Linked DNA regions of Lytechinus pictus. The protein of the gene in region 2 purifies or fractionates together with the protein of the main gene of each other region. This does not show direct contact. Links are inferred from orthologs where the notes say so. Each region holds a gene or a part of one and is shown on either strand. Other genes may lie near its edges.

What was found. Proteins that work in one complex are often made in the same cells at the same time.
Region 1: the proteins of syntaxin-5-like (region 2) and Golgi SNAP receptor complex member 1-like purify together in Homo sapiens (affinity purification with western blotting; 3 studies listed by BioGRID, with this or other methods). This does not show direct contact. The link is inferred for Lytechinus pictus from reciprocal best matches to the Homo sapiens genes STX5 and GOSR1.

Annotation. Positions count from the first base shown.
Region 1 is NC_087246.1:8,978,962-8,986,203, forward strand, and holds the start of Golgi SNAP receptor complex member 1-like, read right to left. Parts: upstream 3,030-7,242; 5' UTR 3,015-3,029; coding exon 2,930-3,014; intron 1-2,929. Other genes in the region: DNA oxidative demethylase ALKBH2-like, read left to right, coding at 4,246-4,602, 5,303-5,445, 5,771-6,077. UniProt on the Homo sapiens protein: Involved in transport from the ER to the Golgi apparatus as well as in intra-Golgi transport. It belongs to a super-family of proteins called t-SNAREs or soluble NSF (N-ethylmaleimide-sensitive factor) attachment protein receptor.
Region 2 is NC_087251.1:41,209,405-41,216,587, forward strand, and holds the start of syntaxin-5-like, read left to right. Parts: upstream 1-4,156; 5' UTR 4,157-4,815; intron 4,816-5,911; 5' UTR 5,912-5,936; coding exon 5,937-6,158; intron 6,159-6,699; coding exon 6,700-6,770; intron 6,771-7,183. Other genes in the region: methionine synthase-like, read right to left, coding at 1,236-1,296. UniProt on the Homo sapiens protein: Mediates endoplasmic reticulum to Golgi transport.

The DNA.
Region 1 (7,242 bases), on a different chromosome or scaffold from region 2:
ATGTCAAATGTGTTGACATTTTGTATTGATCGAGGCAAGGATACATCTTTTCTTCATTTTACAGAGAAGCTTTAAGGGTTGTAAGAAGAAAATAGGAGTAAGGGACGAATACCCTTTTGCCATTTGATCGTTCACCAGAGTAAACAATCGAATAGTTCGAACAATTGAGATTTCTGGAATGTCAGAAATTACAAAAAGGTTGACCTACTTACATTTTCTTGGAATATGCGCAGTATAAAGAAAGATTAGAGTCTAACGAAAATAGTGGGCCATCGTTCAAGATATGTCATTTAGATCTAGACCTAAAAAAAAAAAATCTAGACCTAACACTAGATTCTAGATCTAGTAGGCCCGAATTGGGCGACATGATCATGATGATTAACGTACATGGAGGCTTGCACTAACGGACTACCGTTACCGTCGGTGAATGGGGATGATACCAGGGGGGCCAGTCAAATATATTGCTGTACACACGCGTGACCAAGGAATTTTCAAACACCCCCTAAACGAGTTTTTCTCTGTGTGCAAAATAACCCCCTAAACAAGTTTTTCGCGAGCTTTATTTACACATTTTTGGCCCCTAAACAAGTTGTCGCCAAAATATGACCTCGGGGAAAAAGCTTTGGGGAAAAAAACATGTATACCCTAAATACGTTTGAACCCGTGATTTACCATTGACCAGTCTTTCAAACAACCCTTTTTCTTGAAAATTGGTGTATTCGATACCCTTATTAAAAGGAAAATGAAAGGATAGATTTATTATCTGGTCATAAGCCAATTACACTTCACTAATTAAAATAAAATTAAAATGAGGCAGAACGGTTTCCTATTTCCCATGATATGCCAACTCAAAGTTATCAATATTTTGATATTCGAAAGACCCGTGGAGGTCGCCATTTTGCTCATACTCCCCATATCTCCGTGGGGGGTTGTGACGTCAGCGACGTACACCTCAGTGTCCAACCCCGGCGAGCGCCTGTGATTGCTGGCGTAAAACAATGCTGATCAGGATGGTATACTGCCAAGCGTATGGCTGCTGAAATCGGTCAGAAAAGGGGACAAAATGCATCTAGCTTTTACCTAATTCACGATCCGCAGAAGCTGAGGCCAGAAATCTCCCTAAATAAAAATTGGGTGGCTGCTGCTGACCGTGCGCCAACGTGCCTCTAGGCTCTACTCTATAATACCTCTAAGTTAGCTCTGCTCGTTGAGCGATTTCTTCGGCCGAGTAGATCTATTTGTGGCTCGAAGTCGTAGGCTCTCGGCCATCCTTTTCAATACAAACGTCCGCGATATGTTTTGTTTTATTTAAAATCGACGGTAACAAATAATAAACAACGTTAGATATATAGAAATATAACACAACAATTTCCCGATATTCAAACGGGATAAATAACCAAACTTCCAACATAACACGATCACTCGGTTCAGGGTACATGACGGTCCGGACAGTACGTACAAATTTAGCTTTGTCAAATTTGCCAATTTGGATATCGTGAATAAATTTGTAAAAATTTTCATCAAAACTCATCAATTTGTGTTTTTAATCCATAAAATAATTTAAATAGCTTTTTAATATTATTTCTAAGTGTTTTATGTGTATATTTTATTTATTTCTGGTAAAAAAAGTATCTATATTATGCAAACTTGGGGGCAGTTTCAGCCTGTATAGCTAGCTATGCGTTATGCACATGGAAGTACCGATACTACCGAGAGCAGTTGTACGTCGCTGACGTCACAATTTTGAACAAACCCCACAACAATGGCGATCTCCATTCAGAGACTTCGAACCTGAAGAAGCCCAACTTTGAAGAGGTGGTACTCGATACTGGGAAATCAGATTGGGGTATAAGTGGATTCATTTTGATTGGCATGTACTTATCAATGATATTATGTGGTATTCAATTTTGGGTTTCATTCTCCTTTAACGCGTTTTTTGGTCACGCGTGTGTACAGTAATATATTTGACTGGCCCCCCGGGGGATGATAGTATGGCCATACTTCGCGGAAGGTCATTATCTCAAAGACTAGCCGATATCCTTAAAATCTGACATCATCAACATAAAAAGCGACCTAAAATTACCCTTTGGCGTAAGTTTTGTTAGGATAAGTTGAGTATTCATGAAAAGATTGGGAAATTTGTCACCGTTAGCGCCCGTTCCGAAGAAATCTGATATCCTCAACAAGCATCATGAATTCATGATATCATTTTGCAAGCAGATATCATAAAAATGTGAGTTCAATCAATGTGGAACTCACTGATTCTTTTAGCATTTTGTCGTCAATCTGATATAAAATTCTACCTTTTTGAGCTTGATTTTTTGTTTGAATCTCCACAAAAACTTTGGTCCGCTAAGTGAGGTCATACTTTTTTCAGAACGGTTTCCCAGCACAGCTTGCATTCATCGATCGGAATAGAATTTTTGGATCGCGATACCGGCGAAACTCCATGAACTACTTCACATTTTCGTCAATGATTTTATATCATAATTTACAATCTTGCCGTCACCCGTCAATGTGGTAACTATTTCGTTGAATTGGTTTTGTATACTTTACTTGTGAATATTTTGTAAAAAAAAAAAAAAAAAAAAAAAAACGCGACGCTCGCGTCCGTAACGTTGGGGAAGTACAATAAGAAACAAGATGGCGGCGTAAACATCGGGCAAGTCTCTTCCGTTTTTTCACAATGTTTTTCTCATTTTTTTAATGAATTCTTGTTTAAAAATAACAACGAGAGCGTAGAAATGTCGGAAATGAAGTTTTATCCCAACAACATGATTTAGAGCTAGATATTTTAGTTAAGGAAAGTAGAAATCTCGGGGGTGAAAGTTTCAGGTTTTGGGCAAAATTTGGGGTCCTTCGTGTAGGTGAATAGGGAGGACTCCCTGGCTTCATTTAGAGTAAGCCTACGTTAGTAAATGATTTTTACTCTCAAGAAGCCGCCTGGCTACGGCCGGCCACGCACGCGCCACGACGGCAGCGCTAGCGGAGCCTCCGTCACACACCACTGTCATGACATGACTATCTCAAGACTCAACTGTTACACACCAACACGGGCAGCACCACCTTCGTTCGTCGACTCACTTCGACTTGTTATCGTATCCGAGTCGTACATGTTTAATTTCTCACCTTCCCATTGATTTCCTTGAGACATGTTTCGCATTTTCCTCTTACTCAATCCAAGGATAATACGTACAGTAAATACTTGCAGTTCAATTTGGCTGAAAATTAGAAAAATTGAATATCAAAATCGTCACCGTTCGACTACGTGGAAGCTCAGTCAACATAAACAATGAAGATATCGGCACTATTTAATTCGCGCAGGAGTGAATCGTTTTGCCAATCTTGCAAGGCAATATTTAAAAAAAAATCAATAGTTTTGAAATTATCATATGGTTCGAATTATTTTCTCCTTAAATAATTTGTTTTAATATTATGCATTAAAAATGATTTTTTCATTATGTGTTTTGAATCAAATATTTTTATTTAAATAAAATAATGATGTGCTCACTCGTAAATATATCTAAATCTTTCTTGCCGAAATATTTCGTTAGTATATTCAGAAAACAATGTTTATTGCATAATAGTTGTTATGCTCCAATATGGAAGTGAGTGGAACTGGAAAGTGGAAACAGCTTATGGTTTAGTCACTGAGAATTTTGAGGAGCGAGCTTCATTAGACTAGAGATATATGCACACTGTTTGAGAATTTGAGAAGAAAGATAGACTATTTGGATTGTACTCTCAAATAATTAACTTTGCTCGGCTACCCCTCAGGGCCCAGACTTAACTTACATGACTTAAGTCTTAAAAAGACTACATTATAGTACAACATCCTGCTGTCGAGCTGTCCTGTCTATATTTCATTCATTTCAATGGTGATATCACTCCAACCCGGGACAAGTCAGTCCAACATTAGATTTGGATTGGAACGAATATAAACAGAAGCAGAAAATATTGGTCTAGATATAAAGTTCGAGTTGTACTTGTAGGCTATCAGATCAAAATATTACTTAGCATGGTTTAATATTTCTGCTCTGCATCTACACAGATCAGTTCTTTGCATTGTGACAGTTTCCATCATGCATATAATTATAATACCCCAAGTTGCCTACCCTCTTTGCTTACTCAAGATGTCCAATATAGAATATGACAGGCAGAGATCTAATTTCTTTTTTCCCTCCCACAGGAAACAAGAGGCTGGCAATATGCTGAGTTGAATTGACACAGCTCAGATTATAAATTATGGATAAGTATATCACCAGAAAAAAGAAAGTCAAGAAACCTGCAGAGATAGGATTGGCTTCAGGTAGCCAACATGATCATGATGGAGAAAAGGATGAAAAGAACGAACCTACATCTAAACGGTTGAGAATTGATAGCAAGACTGAATCTTCAGAAATAGATCTTAGGATGCTCCAGCATATCCCACAAAAGAAAAAAATATCCCGAGAGAATCTTGACTGTGATTACTTGCATCTGTATTCAAAGAAAGAGGCAGATATTCTGTTCCAACGTTGCGAGGAGTCTCTAGATTATTTTACGGGTGATCTTGCAAGGATTAAAGTTTATGGAAAGTGGCATGATATTCCAAGAAAACAGGTAAGTTTTAAAAGTTAGCCTTTATCATATGACTTTAATACCTTTTAAATAGCTGAACGTCTAGTTTGCATTCTGTTATAAACCAATTATCAATATACAAGAAAATGTTTGAACAAGTTGTGAACCTGTGATCAATTCAATTTCAAAAATGATATAAAAAGTTTTCATTAAATTTATATTACAGTATCAATGGAAAAGAGTGATGTTCAGTTTTGTCCTATTTATCAATCATTTTCTAACCCTATAATTATCTTGTTTTTCTATGTTGCCTGCTCATTTTCTGATACAATGATTTTTTTTCCATGTGGTGATATATTCTTACATTCCAAAGATGTTAATGTGTTCTCAACTTAGAACATCTTTTTCCCCCCTCACCCCTCACATGCAATGATCTGGTATGCATTGTAGCCTTTTACATTACACAAATTAGGAGGCATGTTTTAGCATTATTCATTTAAAACCAAAGCAGCAGTAGTGCCTGTAGTGGAACATATTGTCATACAGTGATGACTGCCTATTAAAAAGTAAAATAAGAAGTTCAGTTTTTGTGGGTGTTCTTTTACTTAGAAAGACTCAGTCATTGTCCCCTGACAAGAGTTTGTTTCTCCATAATCTACTTGAAAGCTTTGCTTTGGGTGCTAATTATTAAAAATTAAGTTGATCAATTCAGAATATTCGCTTTTATTCTGAATCTGTGCAGGTAGCACATGGTGATGCAGGTGTAACATACAAATATTCTGGAGTGACTGTTCCAGCTAAACCATGGATACCACTGTTATTAGAAATTAGGGATAGGATTCAAGAGGTTACAGGGTTCAAATTTAACTTTGTTCTCATCAACAGGTAAGGTTTGATTCAATTCTTAATTATAATTGTATTTTTCTCTCTCTCCCTGTGTATGTCTCTCCCTACTTCTATCTCTTTATTTTGTCTTATTATTAACATTGTTCAGTGTACTAAAGTCACACCCTCTCCCCTCTCTGTCTTCTCTCCCACTTTTATATGGTATGTAGCCATTTTTATTTTCTATCATTTCATCTACCATTTAACAGGAATAGTTGACTTGGTAGGCAGATTGTAATACATCATTTATATATGAAAAATTAGTTTAAAAATATCTCAAACATTTGACCAAGACACTAATTTCTGTCATATTGTCTACATCTAGGTATGCCGATGGAAATAACTACATGGGTGAACATCGGGATGACGAGAAAGACTTGGTTTCAACTAGTCCTATAGCGTCCCTGTCTCTTGGACAGAACCGTGACTTCATCTTCAGGCACTGTGAGGCCCGAGGATCTCAGGCCAAACGAAAGATACCACCAGTCAAAGTGGAGCTAGAACATGGGAGTTTACTCATGATGAATTATCCTACTAATGTTTACTGGTACCATTCGCTGCCTGTCAGGAAGAAAGCTTTGAATACCAGAGTTAATATGACATTCAGAGATATTGTAACTGTCAAGAAGTGACCAGTGAGAGGACTTTTTGGGAAATAGGTTACAGCCAAAGTGATTTTGTATGTTTGTCTTCTTACCACTAAGATTTAATTGCCCAATTAGAATCTTCTGTTACAATGACATATTCAAAAAATATAATCGATCTTCCATTCCATTCCAGTTTTGGTAGATTGTTTGCCAAAAGATAATGCTTGATATCACTAAGAAGATTGTGTTTTGTATACACAGTGTTCGTTTAGAATAAGGTAGAAGACTAGAACCAGAGTTCACTTCATCTTCAGATACATTTATCAGCACACAAGACCTTATTGTTGGACAGTGAATATCAAAAAGTAATTTCTGACCTTGGATAATTGATTAATTTTGAATAATGATGTTGTATAAAAAAAATCTAGAAGTCAACATTTCAAATTGTTAATTACATCTAGAGACATACATCCAAAACAAATCCTGATTATGTCCTCATGAGTATTTTTTTTTTCTTTTAAAGGAAGGTGGCTACACTTTTTTCATCAGGTGGGACTAGATATAGGGAAAGAGGATCCACAAAACATTGTGCTCCCTCCCTAACTCCCATCTTACTGAGATATACACATAACAAGAGTAGATTTAATCCTAAAATGTAGGTGAATTGACAAAGCACTCCATTGTCTGATAAAAGCCAAAATATGATTACAGTGTAATGTACTAACTGCTAGAACTTGATGTCATGACCAACTAAACATAATGGTCTGATTGTAACTTTCAAATTAATAAAGGATTGTTCAAATACTATGTATTGGACACCATATTTACTTTGTTTGCACAGTAGTTACCTTTCATGTAACTTATGAATACACATGATTTTCATATATCAATACAAATTCTTAACTGCCCTAGGGCAATTTATCAAAATGATTCAAGTCTTATTACGAAATCACATTTAAATTCCAGTTGAGTGTCTTATAACATATTACTGCCGCAGTCTCAGTCATATCATGCTGAGGGGATGGGTGCAATCGCATATTGATCAAATATCATTACAGATTTACTATCATGTGCAATTTGGCAACTTAGGCATGACTTTTATTCAGATTTAAAACTTTGTGATACATGTCCAGGGGGGTGTTTCACAAAGATTTAAGTATGAGAGTCACACTTAAATGTAGCCTGATGCGTACGTGATATGCAACACGCA
Region 2 (7,183 bases):
CAATTTGGTTAAAACGTAAACTTAATTGCCGGTTCAAGTTCTGCGGATTTTCTCAGGGGTACATTAGTCATCATTAATAATAGCCAGGTCAAGATGGCATCAAATTCTGCAAATAAAGGAAAGGTGCATGCTGAAAATCGTGCTTTCCATAAAGAATGGACAGACAAGTATGCTTTCATTTTGCCGCAATCGAGTACAAGGCCAATGTGTTGGCCAATCTACTTTGACAAAAAAAAATATTGATAGGCCTACTACAAAACATTATCTGTCTCTTAAATTCCAGGTATGTGTTAAAATTGACGTATAGGTACAATCTACATTCCTTTTAACAAAGTACAACAATTTTGTTGTCTATATTGACTCTTGCTGTATTTTGAAATCTTTTCTGATATTGCCTGTGTTCCATATGAAACCGTAATTATTTTTTGGATTAAATTCTCCCAAAAATAAGGGCCAGATTGCCCCAGATAGCATCTAGGACCCCGGCCGCAAGGGTCTTCGCGCTTCGCGCACATTTTTTTCCAAAAAATCCACTCACCCTGGCCCTTTCAGGTTTATTTCGAGTCTCATCTGGCCCTTCAAAGAAAAAGTTTGAGAACCCCTGGTCTAGGGTAATAGTATGCAGCGCTTAGAAACATTTGTATTAAGCGCTATATAAATGTTGCATATCATTATTATTATTATCCCTTTTACATGATTTAGGCAAGATCTTTTAGATGGAAAGTAGACTAGAAATCTCGGGGGCAAAAATTTCTGTTTCTTTCACGGTACACGCACATAAATGGGACGCAATTCCTGGCTCCGTGGAGAGTAAGCACATGTTAGTAAATGAGTTTTACACTCTAACGTTAGGAGCCTCCTGCTTGGCTAGCTACACACACCCAACACCTTCTCTATCCACTCATTCAATGAACAAGGTTATGATATAAATAATGTCTCTATCTAACTTCTAAGACAGGTTGTGTGTACTGACGATCAATTTTAGAAAGTCATTTGGAAAAATTTACAAGCGAAGTTTCATCAATTTTTAGTACAAAATGTTAGGAAATATTATAGAGACAAAATAGAAGATGATTATAACTATTAAATTCATATTTTTAGTGTAATCCAAAGACAAACAAGAAGGCTTCAAAAATATAAAGTAGGCCTATCCGAACACCCGACCCTCGGCCCTCCATCCATGATCCTATTCCTAAAGTAAAAAAAAGAGTTAGGCCTAACTTGACTTTGTTTACCTCCTTGTCCTTGAACATGTTCATGGCCTTGACCTTGTGCTTGTGACAGTGTTGGCGGCATGTCTCACAAGCTGATGACAATTCAAACCAGATATTATAAGATATATTAGCAATCGAATTTTGTTCTCTGTTGGCATTGGAGACGAAACAGACAGAGCTGGTGCTGTACTTCGTATCGAAACCTTTCTTCAACCGCGCCGGGTCTGTCGGGTTGGTATTCGTAAGCGCGATGGTTCAGCGCTGCCGCGAGTTCAAGAAGAGACTGATTGCGAAAGATGTCACGTCTATGCAATATGCCCTATGTACGTCGAGCCGGACAAATCGTCCTACATAAGAATCGCCGTAACAAAAATACTCCCAGCTCAGATCGACCCGACCCATATATACTTCAGTTGCTGCCTCATGAAAAACTTATATTTCACTTAACTATATTCAAAATACTTCTCAGATCCGTGACTTCAAATTTGGATTTATAAAGAAAGGAACAGTAAAATTAAAGAAGGCTAGCTGGCGCCGGATTTTCTGAATCAATCGAAAATCAAACAAGCATATAAAAAATTCAATCAAAATCTGGGGCCCGTTTCATAAAGAGTTACAATATTGTTTTAACTTTGCCATTATGGCAACTACCATGGCAACAGGGCTCAGCAGCCAATAAAAATCAAGGTTACCATGGTAGTTACCATAATGGCAAAGTTGCAACTCTTTATAAAACGTGCCCCAGGTGTAAAATAAGAAAGTCATAGCTATAGGTAAATGGATTCAGGTTTTGGCAAGGGGGAGGAGCATATAAGCAGCCAGCGGCGACGAGTATAGTCTGCAGCACATACTTTGATCAACAATCTCTCCACGCATCGACGAGCACATAAACTTGCTGTGGCAATAGGCTTCCAGTACACGTCATGAATATAGGCTGCACATTCTGACCCTTATTCTAGTGAAGCTATAGGGTTGGCACAGCAGACTAAGCCTGCATGCAGTGGTGGCGGCGCCTTTAAAAAAAAACGTAATTATCACACCCGTAAAATCATCGCGGGACTGCCGATTCCGGCGTGACAGTGTGTCGTCTAAAATGCAATATTATTTGGTTTGGTGGAGACAAAAAGGGCGGAGACTCCGGCTTACACTCCCATAGGCCTATTGTGCTCCATGAGGATAAGTATGACTGTGTCCACCAACAACATTTGGCATTTTTGGGGCATATAGTTTATTGACCATCAGTGCAATAACTATATATTTTGCCCATTCTAAAGTAAATTCATAGACGGATCCAGGGGGCGAGGGGCCCGCCCCCCCCCCCCCCCCGCTGGTGGAGCAAAAAAAAGATTTTAAAAAAGGGGGGAAAGACAAAAAAGAGTAGGGAAAAATAGCAGAAAAAAGAGAAGGAAGACGAGTGAATAAAACAAAATGAGGAGAAGACTTGGAAAATAAACAAAATCTTTCATGTTATGATTTATGAACATAAACAAAATTTTGAGTGGCTGTCGCAAAAGGAACTCTTCCCTCAGAGAGGAATCTTTCATTTCACTTCGCGCTTGAATTGCCTGTTTTGGTTATGGGGTGATTATATATTTTGCTCAATATACAAAACATATTTCAGTTCGAAATCGAACTTTCATTATTTTGTTTGATTTACGAATTAATTTTAAAAAGTGCTTTGTAAACATGTTAGTTTTAAGGTCAATATTAACATTTGATTTGTCAGGTAGGCCCTATTATTTTCGTGTATTCCATAAAGTTCTCAAAATATCCATATTCACGGTCGACATATCAGCTACCGATGCACGCTCTCATTTTGATTGGTGAGTTATGTATAGGCCTCAATATTCTGAACTATATTTCCTACTAGGAAGATCATGATTTACAAAACATGGACAGAGTGTCCCGTTTCTAGGTCTAAAATCTGAATTTTCTTCAGCTCGCGCTTCGCGCTAGTATCATTGTTTAGTTACATTCCTATCCCTTTCATGATTACAAAAAGTGCCTACCGTTGGCGGATGGCACAGCCCGCCGGCCCGTGCCCCCCCCCCCCCCCATGGAAGGCACAATTGAATTTTGTAATGTAAAGATGCCGTTAAGACAGAAGTGTGCCCCACCCCCTTTGAAATTGAAGACTTTTTTTCTGCTTGTCAAATTATTTTGTGGACGAAATACCCTTATTAATAAAACCCTTTTTTTTGCTTGTCAAAGTTTTCCTGTAAAAAATGTGCCCCCTTTCGAAAGATCCTGGATCCGCCCCTGCTTAGAATGACCATTATTTTAGGTCGGAATGACAACAATTTTCAGCTTGCGCATCGCGCATGTTACAATATTTATCGTCTTCATGGCTATAACTCGGGGGCTAACTGCAAACAGTTCTTATCAGGCCGGAACGTTTATTCAAAATTTCTGATCGCGCTTGGCCGCGCGTTCGCAGTAATTATCTAGTTATATACATACGCATCTTGTTCGCAGGATCACAAACATTGCCCAGAATGTTAAAATTTCAGGACCAAATAGGCCTACATGAAAGTTCAAAAACAAAAATTAGATCGCGCTTCACGTCCGCTCGCACTTTTTAAATAGGGCTTATGAGATTAGTTTTATAACAATATAGCTAAGAAGTGACAAAAATCAACTCGGCCGATCGGGAAAAATCGGGGGAAATATGGGTGAAAATGATTTCGGGCCCCACCCCCTACTGGCGAAAGCTTGATCCGCCCCTGTGACAAATCAGTATGCACGGACACTTTCAGTGCCCCACCCCCGATTAAAAAGCAGGGACTCCCAGTGTCCCCCCAGGAAAAGAAATCCTATAACTACGCCACTGACATCGAATTATTGATTAAGGGTTATATTGTCTCTTTGGAAATAGTAGGGTCAATGATTGAAGAAAATTTTGGTAGCTTTGGATAAAAAGAAATGGAGGTAGAGGCCACATAGGCCTACTTTTCGTTTAGATCGAACGATGTATATTGAGTAAAGAGAGTTTGATGAGGACGAGTTATTAGGGAGTCTCCGTACTATCCCATGGTACACTAGCAGCTTGCTACGTCAACTAACTCGACACTGCATACCCACTACCTAGCTATGCATGCACTCAGCTCAGCCAGCCGGTGCGGCCACTACCACTATACCGTACACAGACAGACTGTGCGTAATTACCGGTGGCAAGTTGTGATGATTCAACGAAGCAAGATGTTTGTAGATCTATCCTTCTAACGGTTATATTATAGTTGATAGATTGTGGCACGAGAGTCGCATCTGCATTTATTGACAAAGTTATTTTTCCTCAGATTTCGTCTGTCACAGAATTGTTCAAGAAAAGAGGAGGCTTAATCAATAGTCATCAATTCAGAGCTGGTCTTTCGTGAATGACATTTCGTCATGAATGATGTGTGAAAAAACTAACTAACATCGTCATTGAACAAGAGTCTTGAGTCAAGGAAAGAGACGTTAATTTAACAACATTGAGTAAAGGTGGTTGGTGGTTTGATGCGATTGAGTTTCTGAAGAACTTCTTGATTGTTATCTTTAAGCAGACATCTGTTTCGTTACCGAGTCTGAGCTGAAACTTTGGAGAAATTGTGTAATGTAACGTGTAAGTTTAAGTTAACGTTTAACTTAATAACTGTACTCTGTAGTCAGACCAAAGGCTCCACTTTGACTTATTAGTATAGTAATATTAATGGGGATGATAGTAGAATGTCAGAAATTGGTAAAGAATCCCCAGAAACAACAGTTATTCCTGTCCAGTAAAGCACCAACTGTGCCAGCTAACAGACGGAAAGAGTTCCTCAGTCTTGCGACACTCCGACTGGCGACATCGCGACAGCCACCCAAAATAACGAGATTGTCGCGACTTCCGGTCCATTCACTTCTTGTTCCTCCATCATGTTTTTTTTTAAAGAAACACTAAAAAAAAAACGATAGAGGAACAGGAAGTGAATGAACCGGATGTCTCGACAATCTGATATTTTGGGTGGCTGCCTGTTGCAAGAGGAACTCTTTCCCAGTTGGGTCCTTTCTGATGGCCCCGTTCTTCGCAAAATTTAAATATTTTGGTCACTTGAAAATGGTATCCTATTAATTATTGCCTAACATGTTTTCTCTGGGAAAAGTTGTAAAATTTACAAAATCACTGATCATCTATTTTGTTGTTTTGAGAAAATAAGGGCCTTGAAAATATGACCCTTTTTCATCTATGTCACATGAGTTGCCTATACACATCCACACCTGAATAATTAATGATTAGATGAGTGGGCTTCATTTGTAAGGATTTGTAATGTTATTGTTTAGTTTCTCTGGGCAGTTTTCGATGTGTAGAATCTAGACATTTCATTCCTGTTTTTTTTTTTGGGGGGGGTCCACATTTTGTGCTCTTTTCAAGAATGATTACCAGTCAAAATATTTCTATTTTGGGGGGCTTTTTACATCCTGCCTAAATCTGCATTTAATAGATCAGCTTTAAAATAGTGAATGGGGATTTTCTAGGGTTTTTTTTTTATTTCCAGAGCTCTTTTGGGGCAAAATCTGAGCTCCAGTATAATTTTTCTCCCTGATTTACATTTTGATACCCCCCCCCCTTGCCAGTTATCTTGATGCAAATACTTCTTTATTCAGAATTCAATCTTTCAAGGGCAATCAATTAGAGTTATTGAGTTGCGATATCACCAGTTGCATTGTCTGTCTTCCAGATCTTGGCAATGCCATACACCACCAATGTACAATAGACGTCGACACCCTTCAACTGAAGAAAACATTAGTGAGAGCAGCAGGTTTTCCGGTAACAGTGGGTACCACCAACGCAGCGGTTGGACGGTCACTACTCACATTCCACCAGAGACTCTTTCCACGGCAGGAGGAGTAGATACTGGCGATATGACTTGCCGAGATCGCACCCAGGAGTTCCTCTCCACCATCAAGTCCATGCAGTCAAGACAAGTAAGTATCTGGAGAGGGGGGGGGGTAAACTTTTCATTATTCATACACGTGCCACTTTCACTTTCAGAAATCTAAAATTATTAGACAATGTGTAACATTCCATTTTATTTGATGACATCACAATGTACATCACATGTTAGTCATATTTCATAATTGTTTGAATCATGTAAAGGATATGTTGGGTCAGTTCTTAATGAAATTGTGAACATACAATTTTTTTTTCTTTGGGTATCAGAAATGGGAATATTAAAAATCTTTCATGTTATATTAACTAAATACATGTAACTGATAACTTGAATGCTTAGATCAAATACAGCTTTACTATTTTAACTGTTATGCAGTGTATATAAACCTTCGTTAAATTCTTCTTAGATCATTTGTTAAAAAATATTTGTAGTGCTTGTCCCTCTTATCTTATAAAACTTTTATTAGAGGTTTAGTCTTTTTACACATGTTAAACTTTCTTTTGAAAGTGTACCCAAGTCTTGAAATAGAAATGATAAAAGAGAAGAAACAATAATAAGACATGTTTATTTTGCAGGGCAATGGAGTGACAGCTAACAAACTGAATGGAAAGCCACAACAATACACAGATTTCATGAGAATTGCAAAGTAAGTTTCTAGGCATTAAAGGGAAATCCCCCCCCCCAAAAAAAAAAAAAAAAATGTTTTTAGAAGAAAAAGGAATATCAGACAAGTAGATAGGCAAAAGTTTAAACAATATTGGACAAACAGTAAGAAAGCTATGAATTTTTTAAAAGTTGTAAAAATTGGTAATCACTTATACCCTTGGAGAATTCAAATTAGCCGTATGGTGATGTCATACTGGTGTAAGGCAAGGAGTACTTTTCCATTTACTCCAATACACAAAATGGCTTTAATTTTTTTTTCGAAGGTTTTACTCTAAATTATATTTTCCTTATGAGGACATTAAAACAATTGATTACCTTGGTTGTATTCTGATTACTGCCCTAGGGCAATTGATAAAACCACACATCCGTGATAATATTTTAAAAGTCGGAACT